Linked DNA regions of Arabidopsis thaliana. The protein of the gene in region 4 purifies or fractionates together with the protein of the main gene of each other region. This does not show direct contact. Each region holds a gene or a part of one and is shown on either strand. Other genes may lie near its edges. The genes, in order: AT5G44320, AT2G46290, TIF3C2 and EIF3G1.

The links.
Region 1: the proteins of EIF3G1 (region 4) and AT5G44320 fractionate together in Arabidopsis thaliana (co-fractionation; one large-scale study listed by BioGRID). This does not show direct contact.
Region 2: the proteins of EIF3G1 (region 4) and AT2G46290 fractionate together in Arabidopsis thaliana (co-fractionation; one large-scale study listed by BioGRID). This does not show direct contact.
Region 3: the proteins of EIF3G1 (region 4) and TIF3C2 fractionate together in Arabidopsis thaliana (co-fractionation; one large-scale study listed by BioGRID). This does not show direct contact.

What each region holds. Positions count from the first base shown.
Region 1 is NC_003076.8:17,854,006-17,858,739, reverse strand, and holds AT5G44320 (Eukaryotic translation initiation factor 3 subunit 7 (eIF-3)), read left to right. Parts: upstream 1-1,999; 5' UTR 2,000-2,072; coding exon 2,073-3,839; 3' UTR 3,840-4,193; downstream 4,194-4,734. Other genes in the region: AT5G44330 (Tetratricopeptide repeat (TPR)-like superfamily protein), read right to left, coding at 1-470, 552-620, 696-844, 924-1,136, 1,224-1,415; ABCI9 (Stabilizer of iron transporter SufD superfamily protein), read right to left, coding at 4,219-4,437, 4,514-4,598, 4,658-4,734.
Region 2 is NC_003071.7:19,005,249-19,009,836, forward strand, and holds AT2G46290 (Transducin/WD40 repeat-like superfamily protein), read right to left. Parts: upstream 2,705-4,588; 5' UTR 2,550-2,704; coding exon 2,505-2,549; intron 2,402-2,504; coding exon 2,182-2,401; intron 2,047-2,181; coding exon 1,831-2,046; intron 1,735-1,830; coding exon 1,601-1,734; intron 1,501-1,600; coding exon 1,381-1,500; intron 1,279-1,380; coding exon 1,189-1,278; intron 1,094-1,188; coding exon 1,007-1,093; intron 920-1,006; coding exon 840-919; intron 738-839; coding exon 662-737; 3' UTR 523-661; downstream 1-522. Other genes in the region: TRIP-1 (TGF-beta receptor interacting protein 1), read right to left, coding at 1-145; AT2G46300 (Late embryogenesis abundant (LEA) hydroxyproline-rich glycoprotein family), read left to right, coding at 3,144-3,886, 3,984-3,999.
Region 3 is NC_003074.8:8,090,135-8,094,868, reverse strand, and holds TIF3C2 (eukaryotic translation initiation factor 3 subunit C2), read left to right. Parts: upstream 1-1,620; coding exon 1,621-1,650; intron 1,651-1,744; coding exon 1,745-3,367; intron 3,368-3,450; coding exon 3,451-4,215; downstream 4,216-4,734. Other genes in the region: AT3G22850 (aluminum induced protein with YGL and LRDR motifs), read right to left, coding at 4,594-4,734.
Region 4 is NC_003074.8:3,576,557-3,581,078, forward strand, and holds EIF3G1 (eukaryotic translation initiation factor 3G1), read left to right. Parts: upstream 1-1,831; 5' UTR 1,832-1,979; coding exon 1,980-2,316; intron 2,317-2,604; coding exon 2,605-2,633; intron 2,634-2,694; coding exon 2,695-2,746; exon of another isoform or gene 2,747-2,753; intron 2,754-3,262; coding exon 3,263-3,810; 3' UTR 3,811-4,013; downstream 4,014-4,522. Other genes in the region: PRA1.A3 (prenylated RAB acceptor 1.A3), read left to right, coding at 31-109, 602-688, 764-852, 947-1,018, 1,106-1,209; AT3G11405 (uncharacterized protein), read left to right, coding at 4,339-4,522.

The DNA.
Region 1 (4,734 bases), on a different chromosome or scaffold from region 4:
ACCTGAGCTTTCGAGAAGCACCAATTGTCGCATCCCATTTACTCTGATCTACTTCCTCATCTACCCATTTACATTCCCGGGGTTGTGTAGTCAGACCTGGTGAGTTTTGTTCAACCGATTCAGAGGAAGCATGCGAGTTTGTCTTGTGAATATTACCCAGTTCAGTGCTAGTTCCAGCTAGAGCCTTCTTTCCTTTCATCCCACCTGAACATCTCGAAGAGAAGTTATCTGAAAAGCTACTTGTCAGCAAATCTTCTGGTTTATCCGCTACTGTTGCTTGTTCTCTTTCTGCTAACATCTCAGTAGCCCGTTCAAAAGACTTGCAAAACGGTTCATTCTTCCATTGATTCCCTAGAGACTGTTTTACATCCTCAAGCAGAGATTTAGCTTCATGGGTTCTTTCCATACGTATCAAACAGATTGCAAGATTGCACAACTTGTTATTGTCAGGTTCCAAAGACAAAGCATTCCTATCACAGTAAAACCCATTTCACTTGTTAAGGCAATGATAAAACTAACATTCTTAATGGGATTGATGGTGTTTCACAAACCTGTAATACTGCTCTGCAATTCCATAGTTATGAAGCTGTAAGTGAACCCAAGCTAAGTTCCCTAGAATCCTACATATCCAAACACCAAGAAAGTCAGAGAAACTACTCTTTCAGGTATAAAGCGGAGATGGGAGATTGTCTTGCCGTGCTTTCTCTTGCTCGATTGTCTTGTTATTCTGCTCCTCATGGCTTCTTTTCGCTATTTTGATCCTGCCACCATAATGTTTGTCTTGTTCAAGTGTTCTCAGTTTGTGTTCAAGCAGCTCAGCGACCTCTGTAATCCTCCCAGACTTCTGCAAAACCAAAATCCATCAAAATCACATACTGAGCATAGAAATAGCTTCACAATTAGTCATACTGAGAAAGTTTTACCATGTAGAGTTCAAGTAACAAGTTATCAATAGAATCTTGAGATTCAAAAGGGCAGAGATATCGAAAAGACTTGATAGCTTCGATTCCTTCATCGAATCGGTTCAACTGTTTTAAAACAACTACCATGTCCTTCAATGCACTATCAACTCTATCTCCAGCATTAATCGCCGCCCAAAACAACGAGATAGCTCGATTCGGGTCTTTAGAAACCAACTGTTATTGAAAACAATTCCATGTCAAGAACAAACGTTCATACACATAAACCAATACAATTCACTAAAAACCCTATATTGATATTACCTGAGCATGTTTGGCTCTGACGTAAGGAGAATCACCAGTACGAACCCTAAACGATTCTTGATTCTCGATCAAAGGTGATCTTTTCCTCTCCGAAATCGGCATCGCAATGTAAACTCTTCTCGTCGTGTGCCATGACGGTGGTGGAGTCAAGAAACCTCCTCCCTTAGCACCACGGCTCTCACGACGCCGCATAGTGAGAATCTTCTTTTCTCGGGAAAATCTTCTTTACTTCCCCGAGAAAATGTTTCCGATGATCAAATTTTTGGGGTTCTATGGAACGTGTTTGTTAAAGATTAAGAAGCAAAGCGATTCCAAGCCGGAAAAGAGAAGAGACTAATGGAGAAATTTTCCCGAGAAAATTGGAGATTCTTTTTGAATTTTCTCTGAAGAAGAGAAGAGAGTAAAAAAGTCTTTATATAGTTGGACCTTAAGTAACCAATGAAAAACTTAGGGGAAAGAAGTGAGACATGGATATAAAAACAAGGATCTAAATAAAATAAGTTTTGCGACGAGTACAAATTCGTAAACTTTTGAATTGAAGTGCAACGTTCAGTTATTGGTTAACAGATCATGAACCGGTTCTAAGCCGGTTTCTTAATTCCTTAATAAATGTACGGTTGAATATAACCCAAAATTTCGATTGAGAGAATATAGCCCAAACCAAAAGCATTGGTTAGCTTAAACCGACGTCCTTTTGACTGAGTGAGATAATAATGGGCTTAAAAGGGCTAGAGTTTCTTATGACAAGAGAAAAGCCCATTGAGGCCCATTAAGGGCTAGGGTTTTCATTGTTGACAAAATAAAATACAAATTTTTCACTTGCGCACATCTTCTTCGCAAATCTCAACAATGGTGTTTGAAGCATTCGAAGTCGGCACAGTCCCATTCAATTCCGATGGTTGGGGACCACCAGATGCTTCCGACACTTCCTCCACCAGCGTCGCGGCGGCGAATCTCCTCCCAAACGTCCCCTTCGCTTCCTTCTCACGATCCGAAAAACTCGGACGCGTTGCTGATTGGACTCGAGCTCTCTCAAATCCATCAGCTCGTCCTCACACCGGATCCAAATCAGATCCATCAGCGATCTTCGATTTCTCAGCTTTTGCAGTAGATGAAGGATTTGGTCTAACAAACTCAGGTGGAAACGCCGACGAAGACGCCGCTTTCCGATTAGTCGACGGAAAACCACCGCCGCGTCCTAAATTCGGACCTAAATGGAGATTCAATCAATACCATAACCGAAATCAGCTTCCTCAACGTCGTGATGAAGAAGTTGAAGCTAAGAAACGTGAAGCTGAGAAAGATCGAGCTCGTCGTGATCGTCTCTACAATAACAATCGTAACAATATTCATCAGCAACGCCGTGAAGCCGCCGCGTTTAAATCATCAGTTGATATTCAACCGGAATGGAATATGCTTGAGCAGATTCCGTTTTCGACTTTCTCTAAGCTTTCGTTTACAGTTTCTGAACCTGAAGATCTTCTTCTTTGTGGTGGACTTGAGTCTTATGATCGGAGTTTTGATCGTATTACTCCTAAAGCTGATCGTAGACTTGAGCGTTTCAAGAACAGAAGCTTTAAGGTTACTACAAGTGATGATCTTGTGATCAGACGTCTTGCTAAAGAAGATAAAGCTACTGTTTTTGCTACTGATGCTATTCTAGCTGCTCTTATGTGTGCTCCTAGATCGGTTTATTCATGGGATCTTGTGATTCAACGTGTTGGGAATAAGCTTTTCTTTGATAAGAGAGATGGGTCACCGCTTGATTTGTTATCTGTTCATGAGACTTCTCAAGAGCCTTTGCCTGAGGGTAAAGATGATATTAACTCTGCTCATTCTCTAGGTCTGGAGGCTGCTTATATTAATCAGAATTTTGCTCAGCAGGTTTTGGTTAAGAATGGGAAAAGGGAAACTTTTGATGAGCCAATTCCTAATGTTAATGAAGGTGAAGAGAATGCTTCTATTGCTTATAGGTATAGGAGATGGAAGCTTGATGATAGTATGTATCTAGTTGCTAGGTGTGAGTTACAGAGCACTGTTGATTTGAATAACCAGAGATCGTTTTTAACTTTGAATGCTCTTAACGAGTTTGATCCTAAGTACTCTGGTGTTGATTGGAGACAGAAGCTTGAGACTCAGAGAGGTGCGGTTTTAGCTAATGAGTTGAAGAACAATGGTAATAAGTTAGCTAAATGGACTGCGCAGGCTCTCTTGGCTAATGCGGATATGATGAAGATTGGGTTTGTTTCGAGGGTTCATCCTCGTGATCATTTTAACCATGTTATATTATCGGTTTTGGGGTATAAGCCGAAAGATTTCGCTGGGCAGATCAATCTGAACACTAACAATATGTGGGGAATTGTGAAGTCGATTGTTGATCTGTGTATGAAGTTAAGTGAAGGAAAGTATGTTCTAGTGAAGGATCCATCGAAGCCTCAAGTTAGGATTTACGAAGTTCCGGCTGATGCATTTGACAATGATTATGTGGAGGAGCCACTCCCTGAAGATGAACAGGTTCAGCCACCTGAGGAGAACACTGATGCAGGAGCAGAGACTAATGGGGTTTCCTCTACTAATGTAGCTGTAGAGGATAAGAAATCCGAAGTTGAAGCCTGATTTTGATGATATGGGTATATTTCAAGTCGTGTTGTTTTGAGTTACTTTTAAAAAATGTTCGAAAGCTTGTTCACTTTTTCATAGACTATTTATGTTCCAAAATGTTGGTTCATGCTTTCTTGGTTGTTTTTGAATTAACTCTTTGAACTTAAAAGGTCATCACTGTGGTAGGTGCTTGGTCATTGATATTCCGGCATTAGAGAACAGTAGCATCTTTGATTATTCGTGAGACTCTTTTCTGATCGAGAATATGCTTTTTCTCAAGTGTTTATATATCAGTTTTCTCAAGCCAAAATTAATTATTGAAAGCCTAAAATTGTTAGCAGTTTGTTGGGCACAAGTAAAGCTTTCTTTAATGTTAAGTAATTGTGAGATTTGTTTAACCCACTGATCCTTCAAGCTTAATGCTCAAAAGCTGGTTAACTTCGGCTCCAAATTCATTAGGCAACTTGTTGAAAACATCTCTGCAAAATCCAGAGATCATTGCCGCTAATGCTCTCTCATGATCGATACCTCTCTGTTGAAAATAGAAAATCTGATCTTCTCCAATCTTTGAAGTACTTGCTTCATGCTCTATTCTCGCCGATGGATTCTTTACCTGTTATAAGATCTTCATTAGAGGTGCTTTTATCATAACCTTATAATAAAAGGTTAGATGATCATATACAAAGTACCTGTATGTAAGGATATGTATTAGCGGCTGCATTGTCACCAATAAGCATCGAGTCACAAGTCGAAGTATTTCTAGCGTTCTCAGCTCTGGATTGGTCCATGTATCAGCTTGCTGGTAGTTATTAGTCAATGATACGGATTAAAACTCTCCAACGGAATCATCTCCTTCTAAAACCACGCTTGGATACTTCCAAGTTATCGCGAACCCTTTCTCAACTTGAGT
Region 2 (4,588 bases), on a different chromosome or scaffold from region 4:
GGTAAGTTCCAAGGCGCTCGCCGTTATCGGCAAACCAGAGGGTGGGTGTGTGGTCCTTGGCGCAGGAGAAAAGCAGATCTCCTTCTCTGTTGTACCTCAGAAACGTCAATGGACGTTCATGTCCCTTCATCAGGATCGGCCTCATCTTCAGTTTCTTAGGGTTTGATGCGAATCTTTGAAACAGATACGAAATCGAATCAATCAAAAGACAAGAAAAATAATTGAAGAAACGATTACGGAAAACGGCTTTCTTCTTCACCTGTTCACTTGAAGACGAGAGAGACGACGAGGAAGAAGTGCAAAAACCCTAGGAAATCAACTTTGTCCTCTCTTTTGACACTTTTACCCTTTTGTAATTTTTTAAATTACTCGAGATGCCACAGTTTAGCAAAGCTCAGTGGCTTCAGCGTTTTTAGCTTCTTCCCTATTTGATGAGTTCGAACCTCGCCCGTTGCGCCTATTTTGTTTTTTTCCTTTCTCAAAAGCAGTTTCATACGTTTTTTTTTTGTGGGTGCATATGTCTATTTGAAAAGACAAACAACAAGCTTTATCATCAAAGTAGTATATTGGTAATTTGGTAGTACATCAATTCTGAAAATGTTAAAAAGAGAGAAAATATTATGTGGAATGATGAAAAAATGGAAAGACATGTTCAAAGAATCTAAATCTTGATGTTGAAGTAATTGGAGTCAAAATGATGCAGTCTCACGTAGCCGTCTTCACCTCCACTAGAGAAACTGAAAATACATTCCAAAAAACACTCAGCAACAAAGCCTAAAAAACACTCTCATCAACTGAGGATTGTATCAATCAATCAAAATCAAATTTTGTTAGTTTACCTCTTCCCATCAGGACTGAATGCCAAAGCATTAATAGGTCCAAAATGACCTTTCACGCCACCAATTTCCTCTTGCAGAATCTATATATTATAAGACCAAATACACAGTTACATATCTCTTTCCAGGTTACAAGTTTTTAAATAAAACTGTTTTACTGCAACACTAACCGTGTCGTAAAACTTAGCTTCAAACTTCCCAGCACGATGATCAGTGGTAGTCACAGCTGATGCATCTTGACCACCTCCAAGCACAACCTAAAAGAGCGAGAGCAGAAACATTCACAAAGATAACATCAAGACTTGTTGCTTTTGGGAACCGAATTTGAATTTCAAGAAGCATTAGTGCATACATGGTTGAGAAGTGGAGACATGGCGACAGCATTTACAGGCACCACAGTGGTGTAAGTCTTAATAAGAGTCAGCGTTCTCATGTCCCAAAGCTGAAAGAATCAACAAAAAGAACACTCTATTAGATGATTTATCTCTATATGTAATATGTATAGAGCATATTTTTGAAACAAGTAAAAGAAAGAAGCACATGCCTTTGCAGTTTTGTCATGTGAACCTGTAAGGAAGTGAGAGTCATCAGCTGCTTTGCAGAGGGATGTAATGGCCTCCTTGTGACCCACTTCCTCATCTGATTGCTTAAGCAATTTTCCAGTCTAGTAACAATGGCAGTAGCACCACATAAGGTTTAAGCTAATAAAAAAAAAAAGAGAGATATTGATAGACAAAAGAAAGGCCTTAAGAAAGTTGAAATACCTCTGCATCCCAGATTCTGATAGCAGCATCTTCACCACCACTAACAATGGTTTGGTTCAGGGGACCCCAAACAGCTCTATTGATCTTCTTCTTTCCATCAGGACTTTGAAGGACAAGCACAGAATCACCAACCTCTACATCAATTACATTAAATCAATTCCTTTTACCCATACAAAAAAGACATAGGCTAAAAAACATAAGTAGATTTTAACTTAGAATTGACAACTTACGGTCTTCGGGATCTTCTGCAATGCGTTTGACATGAATAGCAGAGGAAGTTCCCACGAAGTGATCAGTGGTAATCACTGCAAGATGATCACCAACAGAGAAATCCACAGACCTTGCAGGGGCACCAAACTTGAAAGTGAACAATTCTTTGCCAGATTTCACATCCCACAGCTTTGCAGTCTGATCAGCACTACCAGTGATCAATCTAGACGAGTCTCCTAAGAAATCACAAACAAAACACTAATCGTTAAGCTATGAAAGACTAAAACAACAAAGACAACGACTTAAATCCTAAACTGAATCCATTCCATCCACTATATACTATTTGAATTTGAGAGGCTGAGACCACTTACTGGAGATATCACAGCACCAAACAGCACCACTGTGGCCACGGTAAGTGCCAAGACGCTCGCCGTTATCGGCAAACCAGACTGTGGGAGTGTGGTCTTTGGCGCAGGAGAAAAGCAGATCACCATTTCTGTTGTACCTCAGGAACGTCAATGGACGTTCATGTCCCTTCATCAAAATCGGCCTCATCCTCGTTTCTAGGGTTTGATGAGAGGAGCTTTTCATCTTGCAAACAGATACGAAATCAATTCAATAGAAAGAACAAAAGATAATACATTAATCGGAAACAAGTACATGACCAAACGGAGGAAGAGATATGTGCACATACTTGGTTGAATCGAAGACCTTCGGGATTAACGCACTCAATTGTCATGACGGAGGAGGCGACGGTTGAAGGACGACGGATTTGATCAGCGAGCGTTCTCTGAGATTTTGAGGGCTTTAAGTGGTGAATCGTTAAACCGGTGAGCGTACCATTGGTAAATAACTCCGAATAGAGCCACGTGGCAGTAATGGGCTCGAAACAGAGTCCACCTGGCCTAAACATCTAATCTGTAGGCCCATGCCACTTTGGATGTATCAAACTCAATATGATTATCAGTTATAAATTAATCGACTAATCTAATAACTGAAATTTGAATATTTCAATGAATGTAGGAAGAAGAGAAAAAAGAGGGAACACGTCAGCAACAAAAACGGCGCGCGTGAGTCTCGGGCCTAAAACGAAATCCCTTCCTCACGTCTCAGCCTTCTTCCATTAACGAGAGAGAAGAGACAACGCAACACAAAAAAACATTCTCTTCTCTCTCTCTCTCTTCCAAAAACTCAAAATCTCTTAGAAACCAAGTTTGCCTGCAATCATCATCATCATAGCATCTCTCTCTCCATTTTGAAGATTTCGTTTTGATCTTCCTTGATACGATTTATCAGGAGATCGTCAGAGAGGTGAATAATTAAGAGAAAAAAGATGGCAGATTATCAGATGAACCCGGTTCTTCAAAAGCCACCAGGTTACAGAGATCCAAACATGTCCTCTCCTCCTCCTCCTCCACCTCCCATTCAACAACAACCTATGAGAAAAGCCGTCCCTATGCCTACTTCTTACCGACCAAAGAAAAAACGTAGAAGCTGTTGTCGTTTCTGTTGCTGTTGCATCTGCATTACTCTTGTTCTCTTCATCTTCCTCCTCTTGGTCGGAACAGCTGTTTTCTACCTCTGGTTCGATCCTAAGCTTCCCACTTTCAGCCTCGCTTCCTTCCGTCTCGACGGCTTCAAACTCGCCGACGATCCCGACGGCGCGTCTCTCTCCGCCACCGCCGTTGCCCGCGTTGAGATGAAGAATCCGAACTCGAAACTCGTTTTTTACTACGGAAACACTGCCGTTGATTTGAGCGTTGGTTCGGGAAACGATGAGACCGGGATGGGAGAGACGACGATGAATGGATTCCGACAAGGTCCCAAAAACTCGACGAGCGTGAAAGTGGAGACGACGGTGAAGAATCAGCTCGTGGAGAGAGGATTGGCTAAGAGACTCGCTGCGAAATTTCAGAGCAAAGATTTGGTCATTAACGTTGTTGCCAAGACTAAAGTTGGATTAGGTGTCGGCGGTATTAAGATCGGAATGCTCGCCGTTAATTTGAGATGCGGTGGCGTTAGCTTGAACAAGCTTGATACTGATTCACCTAAATGCATTCTCAATACACTCAAATGGTACAAAATTATCAGTAATTAGGATTTTGGTTTTTGATGTTAATTACATCCAAAATTTCTAAACTTTTATATGAGATTATTAATTATTACGTTGCAGGGTAACTATACAGTAACAAGACGGAAGGATTCGAGGATTTGGAAAAACACGATGATCTAACATCTGTATACTTGTAACTTTACTGTAGATATGTTATCTTCTTTCTTTTGTAATTTTATTTTTTCGTGTTTTATACTCCACACATGTTATTAATTTTATTTTTGGGGTATTTGATCAAATTCACTGAGGGGGGCATATTTAGCGAGTGTTTGTTTTATTATTATTTTGTGTGAGATAGATTATTTTGTGTGTAATATTTTATGTGGGTTATTATTTGGGCAGTAAACATAATGTAATGTGGTGATTTTTATGTTAAGAATATTTTCGACATGTTTGTGTAATGGTGGTGGGAAAATATTGTTCAGGTGGCGTATGAATCTTTAGACACTAATGGGCCCGTAAAGTATATGGGCTGAAATGTTTCGTAAACAAAAATATAGATATCGAAATGGTGTGCCATTTTTGGGGGCCTAAATTGGTAAAATGTCAAGTGGAAATGTGGAATTCGAAAAAAATGGCTTGTTTTTCAGAATTAGGATAAGAAGTCCAAAAATAACAAAATTCCATTATATCAGTTAATCTGTTTTTCCTCATGTGTATCACTA
Region 3 (4,734 bases), 4.5 Mb from region 4:
TAAAATTTGGTACCCCATTGTAGGTTTGTTGACTTGGATGTTCCCACTTGTATCGAAAATAGGATCTGACACAATGTTCCTAACCTAAATTTTGTTTTTAAAGTAAATTAGTCAAGTAATGACTTGCAAACTAAGGTGGGGTTTTAAAGTAAGGAGTGTCCAAACAACAGTACCTTCATGTTTGCGTATGAATGGACAAATTTCTTTGGATGACATCAATAACGATGATCACATGATGTGCAAAAGCAAGTCTAACTGATGTATTCACCCACTCGCCTAAAGAAATTAACAAAGTTAAAAGTTTGATATTATGTACTCTAAGGTTTTCTATTGACTAATCACATTATAATGACCAATTATATCAACACAAATGGATAAGTCAAATTACTCTTTTACAACTTAATACCAGACAATCAATGTTGAGTAGCAGTAAGAACAAAGTTAAATCAATATCCTAATCTGGCCATAGGATCACCTAAAGCTCTAGCATCCAAGCTTACATATTATTTCTTAAATCAATGATTTGATTTCTTCCAAAATGTAAGATTAAGAAATAGAACCTTTATATGGCTTTTTCCTTGAATTATCAAACACCAAGCTGTGCAGTCATGTATGGTCGTGGACAATGATTTTCAATTTTGTAACGACACATACGCTGCAAACAAAATGTGTGGTTGTCCATTACGGATTGTCCAAGTGTTGTAGTCCATATGTTCATCTTCTGTCCAATAGAGAACCTCAAGTACTGAATTTCAAACAAACTGGGCAGAGAAGTTATCAAACATTATCACAGAATTACGAACAAGATCTCCGAAGTCAACATGACAAAACTTTACCTTAGTTGTTCCGAAATTCTTGAACTTTTCTCGAAGTAACCTCAATTGAAATTGAAATTGAGTTTGGACAGTACGAGTTAAGAGATTTTCAGGCAAAGTAAATCCAAATCGATTTAAGAAATTGCAGAGATTTAGAGGAAATGACAAGAGAATTGGGTTTGGTGTTTTACGGTTGAAAGAGCAAACGAGAGTGTAGTGTGAAAAGCAGTGGTGGTGGACAGTGACGGAGGAGATGGATATCCCGTCGCCGGAGTCCCCTTTTCGAGAAATTGTAATTTAGGATTTTTTATTGGATTTGGATTTTTACGATTCTGGAAAAAAAATTTAAATCACAAAGGCAACTACAAAATCGTGGACTCCATAAATCTGAATTGGTTTAGTGAAAATAGATTTGATTTGTTTGGTTATAGAAAACCGACGATACGAGGGTGAACAAGTAATTTTAATTATTCAAAGTGCCTAATGATTTTTAAGTGCCTAATTACGGATAAACTTTCAAAAAAGTGTCTAATCACGTAATATTCTCTTATAGTAAACCCTAATTCGCCTCTCTTCTTAACGATTCGTTATTCTCTAGTCAAGCATCTCCATCGTCTCACATCAATCTCTCCATCGTCTCAAATCAATCAAAGGTAATTTCATTCTTCTTCATCTTTCCTTGAACAAATTTTAGGTTCGAGTTTTTTGTTCTTCATCTATGTTTTGTGTCCCCCCTGCAATTATATCTCCATCGTCTCAAAGTTTTATATTTTGATGTATCAGGTTCTTCTCCTTGCTAACGAAGATGACGACGACTTCTCGTTTTTTCGCTCAGGTTTCTTTCCATAGACCTTTGTTTACTTATCAAAACCTATATTTTTTTGTAACAGTTTCTTAATGCTTTTTCTTTGCTTATGTTTCGTTTACAGAGTGGAAGTGAAAGTGAAGATGAGAGTGACTTTGAAAAAGAAGAGGTTGAGGGTAACAACACTCGTTACCTTGCAGACTTACCTGACGGTGAGATTTGTTGTGGTATGGATACTAAACGTGTGGTTAAGCCAAAAAAAGATAAACGTTTTGAGGAGATGGCCAACACTATAGAGAATATGAAGCATGCCATGAACATCAATGATTGTGTTTACTTGCAAGAAACGTTTGAGAAACTCAACAAACAGATTAGTAAGTCCGTAAAGACTCCGACTTTGTATATCAAGACCCTTGTGATGTTGGAAGATTTCTTGAATGAAGATAATATGAAAACAAAGGAGAAGATGAGTACTAGTAACTCCAAGGCTTTGAACGCAATGAGACAGAAACTGAAGAAGAACAATCTGCAGTACCAAGAAGATATCAAAAGATTTAGGGAGTCTCCAGAAATCGAAGACGATGATGAGTATGAAGAGGAGGTGGTGGAGGATTCTGCTGATAATGTTTCTTGGGAGATGTTGTTTAGTTTAGATCATGAAGAGATAACTTGGAACATGGTCAACAAGAAGTTCAAAGAAATTAGGGCTGCTCGTTGGAGCAAAAGAAGAAGTTCTAGCCTTAAACTCAAACCCGGCGAGACTCATGCGCAGAAGCATATGGACTTGACAAAGATCGCCAAGACTCCTGCACAGAAGGTTGAAATCTTGTTTAGTGTTATTTCAGCAGAGTTTAATGTGAATTCTGGTGGTCTCAGCGGATACATGCCTATCGATGTCTGGAAGAAATGTGTGGTTAACATGCTTACCATACTTGACATTCTTGTCAAGTACTATAACATTGTTGTGGATGATACCGTTGAACCTGATGAGAAGGAAACTTCAAAGCCAGCGGCATACGATGGAACCATTCGGGTCTCGGGAAATTTGGTTGCATTCTTAGAGAAGATTGAGACAGAGTTTTTCAAGAGTTTGCAGTGCATTGATCCTCACACCAATGATTATGTTGAGAGGTTGAAAGATGAGCCTATGTTCTTGGCTCTTGCTCAGAGTATCCAAGACTACTTGGAGCGGACAGGCGATTCTAAAGCTGCTTCAAAGGTAGCCTTTATACTAGTCGAGTCAATCTATTACAAGCCTCAAGAAGTTTTTGATGCTATGAGTAAATTGGCTGATGAGGAAATTGAGGAGGCTAACGAGGAAAGTGGATCTTCTTCTTCTTCATTCATTGTTGTTGCGGAGATTGTTCCTCGTAAGCCTACCTTCGCAAAGAGCAGCAGAGCTATGATGGATACACTTGTATCCTTTATCTACAAAAATGGAGATGAGAGGACCAAAGCCAGAGCAATGCTATGTGATATCTATCAACATGCTTTAATGGACAATTTTGTTACTGCTAGAGACTTGTTGCTGATGAGTCATCTACAAGAAAACATTCAACACATGGACATCTCTACACAGATTCTCTTTAACAGGACAATGGCACAACTTGGTCTTTGCGCTTTTCGGGTTGGAATGATAACTGAGTCACATAGCTGTCTCTCTGAGCTGTACTCTGGGAATAGAGTTAGGGAGTTGCTTGGTCAAGGTGTCTCGCAAAGTCGAGACCACGAGAAGACAACAGAGCAGGTAAATATTGACCTTATAGAACATATTATGTTCTTTTTCATTTTAGTAGAGTCTAATTTCTCTGTTTTTTGTTTTAACTATAGATGCTTATGGAGAGGAGAACACAAATACCGTACCATATGAACATAAACCTCGAGCTCTTGGAGGCTGTTTATCTTACTTGTGCCATGCTACTTGAAGTCCCAAACATGGCAGCAAACTCGCATGATTCCAAACACAAACCGATTAGCAAGAATATTCAGCGCCTGCTCGAGAAAAGTGAGAAGCAAGCGTTCACTGCACCCCCTGAAAATGTACGTGTCCATGTCATTGCAGCCACCAGAGCCCTGATCAAAGGAAACTTCCAAGAAGCGTTTTCAGTTTTGAACTCTCTTGATATCTGGAGACTGTTCAAGAACCGCGACAGCATACTCGATATGGTGAAAGCTAGTATCAGTGAAGTGGCTCTAAGGACTTATTTATTCACATACTCGAGCTCCTGTTACAAGTCCTTAAGTCTAGCTGAGCTAGCCAAAATGTTTGACATCTCTGAGTCACACGTCTATAGTATTGTGAGCAAGATGATGATCAACAAGGAGCTTAATGCAACATGGGACCAGCCAACTCAATGCATCGTCTTCCATGAAGTGCAACATAACAGAGCACAATCCTTGGCTTTTCAGATTACCGAAAAACTCGCGACTCTAGCAGAAAGCAACGAAAGTGCAATGGAGTCTAAAACTGGTGGTGTTGGCCTTGATATGACTTCAAGGAGAAGGGAAAACAGTCAGGACTATGCAGCAGCAGCATCAGACAACAGAGGTCTGAAAATGGATGGCTCAAGTCTTACCCGAGGCGTTTCTGCGTAAAGAGAATGTGGAGAAATCTGCAGGCAGTGTTAACCTTAGGCTCTTACTAAGAGTCTAAGACCTGTCATTATGTTTCATTACAGTTTTAGGTTTTGTTTTGTTACCAAAGGTTGTTTATGAATTGTTATTGTTGGAGCTCATGTTCTTGCAGCTCTGGTTTTATCAATATGACATCATATGCATACACTGGAATCATTAGACGTTTATAAAATATTTTATTCTTAGCTTCCTTGTTACCAAGTACAGGTACAATAGCAATAAGAGCACCATTAGTCCTTAGAATGGCTACAGTGAGAATATCAGGAAAAGAGTAAATCTGTGGAACACAGCCACAGGAGTCCAACAAGTAAAAAATAAAACAAGCCTTTTTCAGCTAGTTCAGATTTGTTTAGACCAATTCTGAACACTCCCAACCCTAGGCATCGCTTCTTTCTTGGCCTCAGAATCCACTTTAAACGTTACACCGCAAACCTCACCCGAACTGTCTACCCTTGGTACCGGCTTTAACTCATTTGATGG
Region 4 (4,522 bases):
ACTCTTTTTCCTCCGTTGTGGTGGACTCAGGTCTTGCACTTATCACTCGACCTCTGGCAATTCTTGGTGCTGCTCTTACAGCTTTAAGCTTAGCTTTCCTAAACGACAGGTATTTCTTGTGATTTCGCGTTAGTTTCTACTGTCTATCGTTACTTAAAGATGCATTTGTTATTCCGGTTGTTGTTGGTTCGCATCTATAGAATGTTTAGGAGGAGGTTCTCTATCTATATTCAGTGATTCCTTAAAGTGTCTGTGCTTAGCGTTTAGATTCAATAAGGTTCTCTTGATGGTATATAAAACTCGAGTGTTGCAAAGTTCTCTATTTTCAATGATTAGCCCTTAAAATGTCTGTGCGTAGTACTAAATTCAATAGTTTATGGCGTTAATTCTGTAAACATGAGGGATTTAAGGTTCCTCTATCATGAGTATTGTCAGTGTAAAACCCTTGATGTGTCTGTGCTTAGTATGAAATTCAATATGTAATGGTGTTGTTTCTTAAAACTTGAGTGTTTTAAGTTTCTCTATTTTCAGTGATTTGCATGGTTGGTTTTTACTTTACTCATTGATTTGATGGCGCTAAGGTTTTTCTTGTCTTTTGCAGTTTTGCAGCTACTTTTAATGAGAAGATGATCCGGACCATTAGGCATTTCTCGCCACATTTAGCTGCAAAGATGAGGCCTCCCCACATGTGAGTAATTTTTTATTCCCATGGAAGAGTTACAGATGGTTTTTGTTATTTACTACTTGAGTGAACACCTTGCAGGCCTGTCATTCGTGGGCGATCTGCAACTAGAAAGACAGTCTACATTTGTGGCCAACCACGTTTGGTATTCGTCTTACTTGGCTTAACCGGTACTTATTATCTCTTTATCATATAATCTCTCTCACCTATTGGTATGCAACTTCTCTGTGAACTGATGCAAAATATATGATTTTCCTTATGTAGCCAGTTTTGTCCTGTGGTTTACTTCATGTGGTTTGTTATGGGTCCTCTATGCACTTACCACTGCCCTTCTCAGTAAGCTATCCTTGCTTTCATCTCTTTCTCTGTTTTTTTGGGTCCAGTTTCCATCCTTTTGACTTGTAATTTTTCTCTCTCCCTTAGTGATACTTCTTCATGCAAGCCTGAGAACTCCAAACCTCAAGGCCCGCTTGAACACATTCCGTGAAGAATTCAGGGCTGTCTGGCGTAACTACAGCGAACTTTAAAGTCAACATAAAGCATTGATTCGATCTTATTGCAAACCAACCCGGGACATCACAGGGGTTTCGAGGAAAGACATGAACTCCAATTCCTTCATCATGTGCACAAACAATCGCAGTTATTCTTGTCTTCCAGTAGTAAGCTAGTAAATTATAAGGCCACTGGTCTGGTTACAGATGCGGCTCTTTGTTCTAGTTAGTTGACTAGAACTACAAGGCAGAATATAGTGTTGTTTTCTTAAGGTTCTTTGTATACTCTTTCAGTCTATAAAGTGTGTAAGTGATTCAGTTTTACAAAATCTTTCATTGGCTTTTTCTACGTATAGTTTTTGGATTTGAGATAGAACAGTACAGTGCTTTATCAATTGTGTTTTAAAATTTTGGTAGACAAAACGCCAAAACATGTGGGCTTCGCTTGTGGAATCAGTAGTTCTTTTAAAAGAAGAATCAATCCTGTAAATAAGTGTTATAACGAAAAGCCCAAAAAACATAAGAGAGTCTAAATTAATTCCTAGAAGAGGGTAAGAGGCTTAGTGGAGCGGGCCTGGACACAGCTTTTTGTAGATATTAGAATTTTAAAAATTGAATTTCTTCACATTAAAATTGCTACTGGACCAAGTAAAATTCTGAAGGAATCAAAACGGTGCGTTCCGGTTACGGAGCACACACAGATAAGATAGGAAACCCTAAAAGTGCTTCTTCTTCTTCGTCTTCTTCTTCAGTTTTAGGTTACGATCGAAGCAAAAGCGGCGCATCTGAATCCCAAACGAGTGACGATGACGATCGATTCGCAGCAAAAAACGAGCAAATTCAGATGGGGGGAAATGGACGAAGACGAAGATCTGGATTTCTTGCTCCCTCCCAAGCAGGTGATTGGTCCAGATGAGAATGGTTTGAAGACGACGATCGAGTACAAATTCAACGATGAAGAAAATAAGGTTAAGATAACGACTAGGACACGTGTCCGCAAGCTAGCTTCTGCTCGACTCAACAAACGAGCCATGGAGAGGAGGAACTGGCCTAAGTTCGGAGACGCAGCCAATGAGGAAGCTGGTAGCCATCTCACTATGGTTTCTACCGAAGAGATCCTTCTCGAACGACCCCGAGCTCCTGGTAAATTCTCTCCCTCTGATGATGATGATGATTCTGGTGATTTTTGTTTGTTGAGATTCGTGGGGTTATTGGTTCGTATTGAATTTGGAGTTAAAATTATAAATTTGTGCACTTTGATCTAATTGAGTTGGTAAAATGTTCAGTCTTATGGCTGTGCTAATTGTGTGAATAAGTTTCTAGACTCACCTAGAAAGATGTTGTTTGTGATATGTTCTAACTTGGGATTGCTGTCCAATTCATTGTTTGATTCATTAGTTTTATTGTTTAGTCTAATACTATTGGGTTAAGGTGACCAATTAGCGAATCACATGTTAGCCGTGAGGCTACTTGTTTGTGTGATTGGTCAGTATGTCACCGATAGCAGTTTATTGTTTGTAGTCCATTCCTGAGTACGAGCTGAAATGTGCTCTCACTTTTGTGGCTGCTAACTGTACACATAGATGTTGCAGCTTTTCATTGGTCTCCTACTTGATGTTAGGAAGCTTTAGTTTCGATTGTTAAAGCTTTTCTCCTGTGACATGTTGTCTCCCATTTGATGTTTGGAAGCTTTAGTTTCGATTGTTAAAAATTTTGTCCTGTGACATGTTGTCTCCTTTTGTGTTATTACCTTGATGAAAAAATTAGATTGATGTAGGAGTCACCATGATCTTGTGTTTCAATGAACCAATGTCAAATGGTTTGTAAACGGGCAAAGTTTAAGTTCCTTGATAATGTTACTAGGGCTTTCGTGATCAATCTATTGATAGGTGAATGACTAGTTGTATAGATAGCCATCAAAGATGATGTTAATCAGTGGCTTATAGTGCAGACATAGGTTGCTATGTTTGATTCTGTGGCTATGCATTACTGTATCATTTTAAAGTTGACTATGAGTTGGCCATTGGTTCACAACTATCTTTCATTCTTTGTGTAATTGTGTGTATCTTAACGGTGTGTGATACTTCAGGTACCAAAGCGGATGAATCAAAGGCAACAGGAGATGGCTTGTCTCAGCTGGGTAAAGGTGGTGCAGTTCTCATGGTGTGCAGGATATGCCACAAGAAAGGAGATCACTGGACATCAAAATGTCCATACAAGGATCTAGCTGCACCAACCGATGTCTTCATTGACAAGCCACCCACAGGGGAATCATCTACCATGTCTGCTGCACCTGGAACTGGCAAGGCCGCGTATGTCCCGCCTAGCATGAGAGCAGGTGCAGACAGAAGCGCTGTGGGTTCAGACATGAGGAGGAGGAACGATGAGAACTCTGTGCGTGTAACCAATCTGTCCGAGGATACCCGTGAACCTGACTTGATGGAGCTGTTCCACCCGTTTGGAGCTGTCACACGTGTCTATGTGGCCATTGATCAGAAAACTGGAGTGAGCAGAGGATTTGGTTTCGTCAATTTCGTGAGCAGAGAAGACGCTCAAAGAGCAATCAACAAATTGAATGGTTATGGTTATGATAACCTCATCCTCAGGGTTGAATGGGCAACTCCAAGACCAACCTAGAAAGAAATGTCTGATGTTGAGACCTTAAAACTCTTCTCATTCTCGTCTTTCTTGTTATGGATTTTTGTTTATCGACCAGTTTGTTTGTTGGTTTGGTTTCTGTATGAATAGATGAGAATTTGTTCAATTTCTCTTTAATACATAAGGCATGCTTTTTAAAAAATGGATTTGTGTGATACGTAAGAGTTTTCCAACACTTTTTTCATTGATGTCTAAAATTATTTGTGATGTTTGTTTAACATTCCCCGTTTCACAAAAATATTGTTTGACTTTTACTTTTTCGTTCTAAGATATCAATCAAAATAATAATCTTTATTAATGAAGAATATAACTAATTAACAAATGTTAGTACGTATATTCTTTTAATTGTAATTATAACATTTTCGTATCATTATGTAAAAATAAGAAAATTTCCTTTGTTAAATTTAGTCGAAAAAGTAAAATTTCCATTTATTTTTAACTGCATATATATCAGCTTAAGTAATTTCTTCTTAGTAGAAGGTCAAATTTTAGAATTTCATTGAAACAATGGAAAAGGTTTCAAAACTCAGTATTATCTTCCGTGACGAACTACAAAACTTCAACAATGACTATGTCGAAAATATAGATGTCGTCGGCAAAAAAACATCTAATTCATCATCGGACAATGAAAGCGACCAATTCGCCAGCTTGTTTGGTTCTTCGTCACCGTCTTCGTTTCAAATGCCTCTTC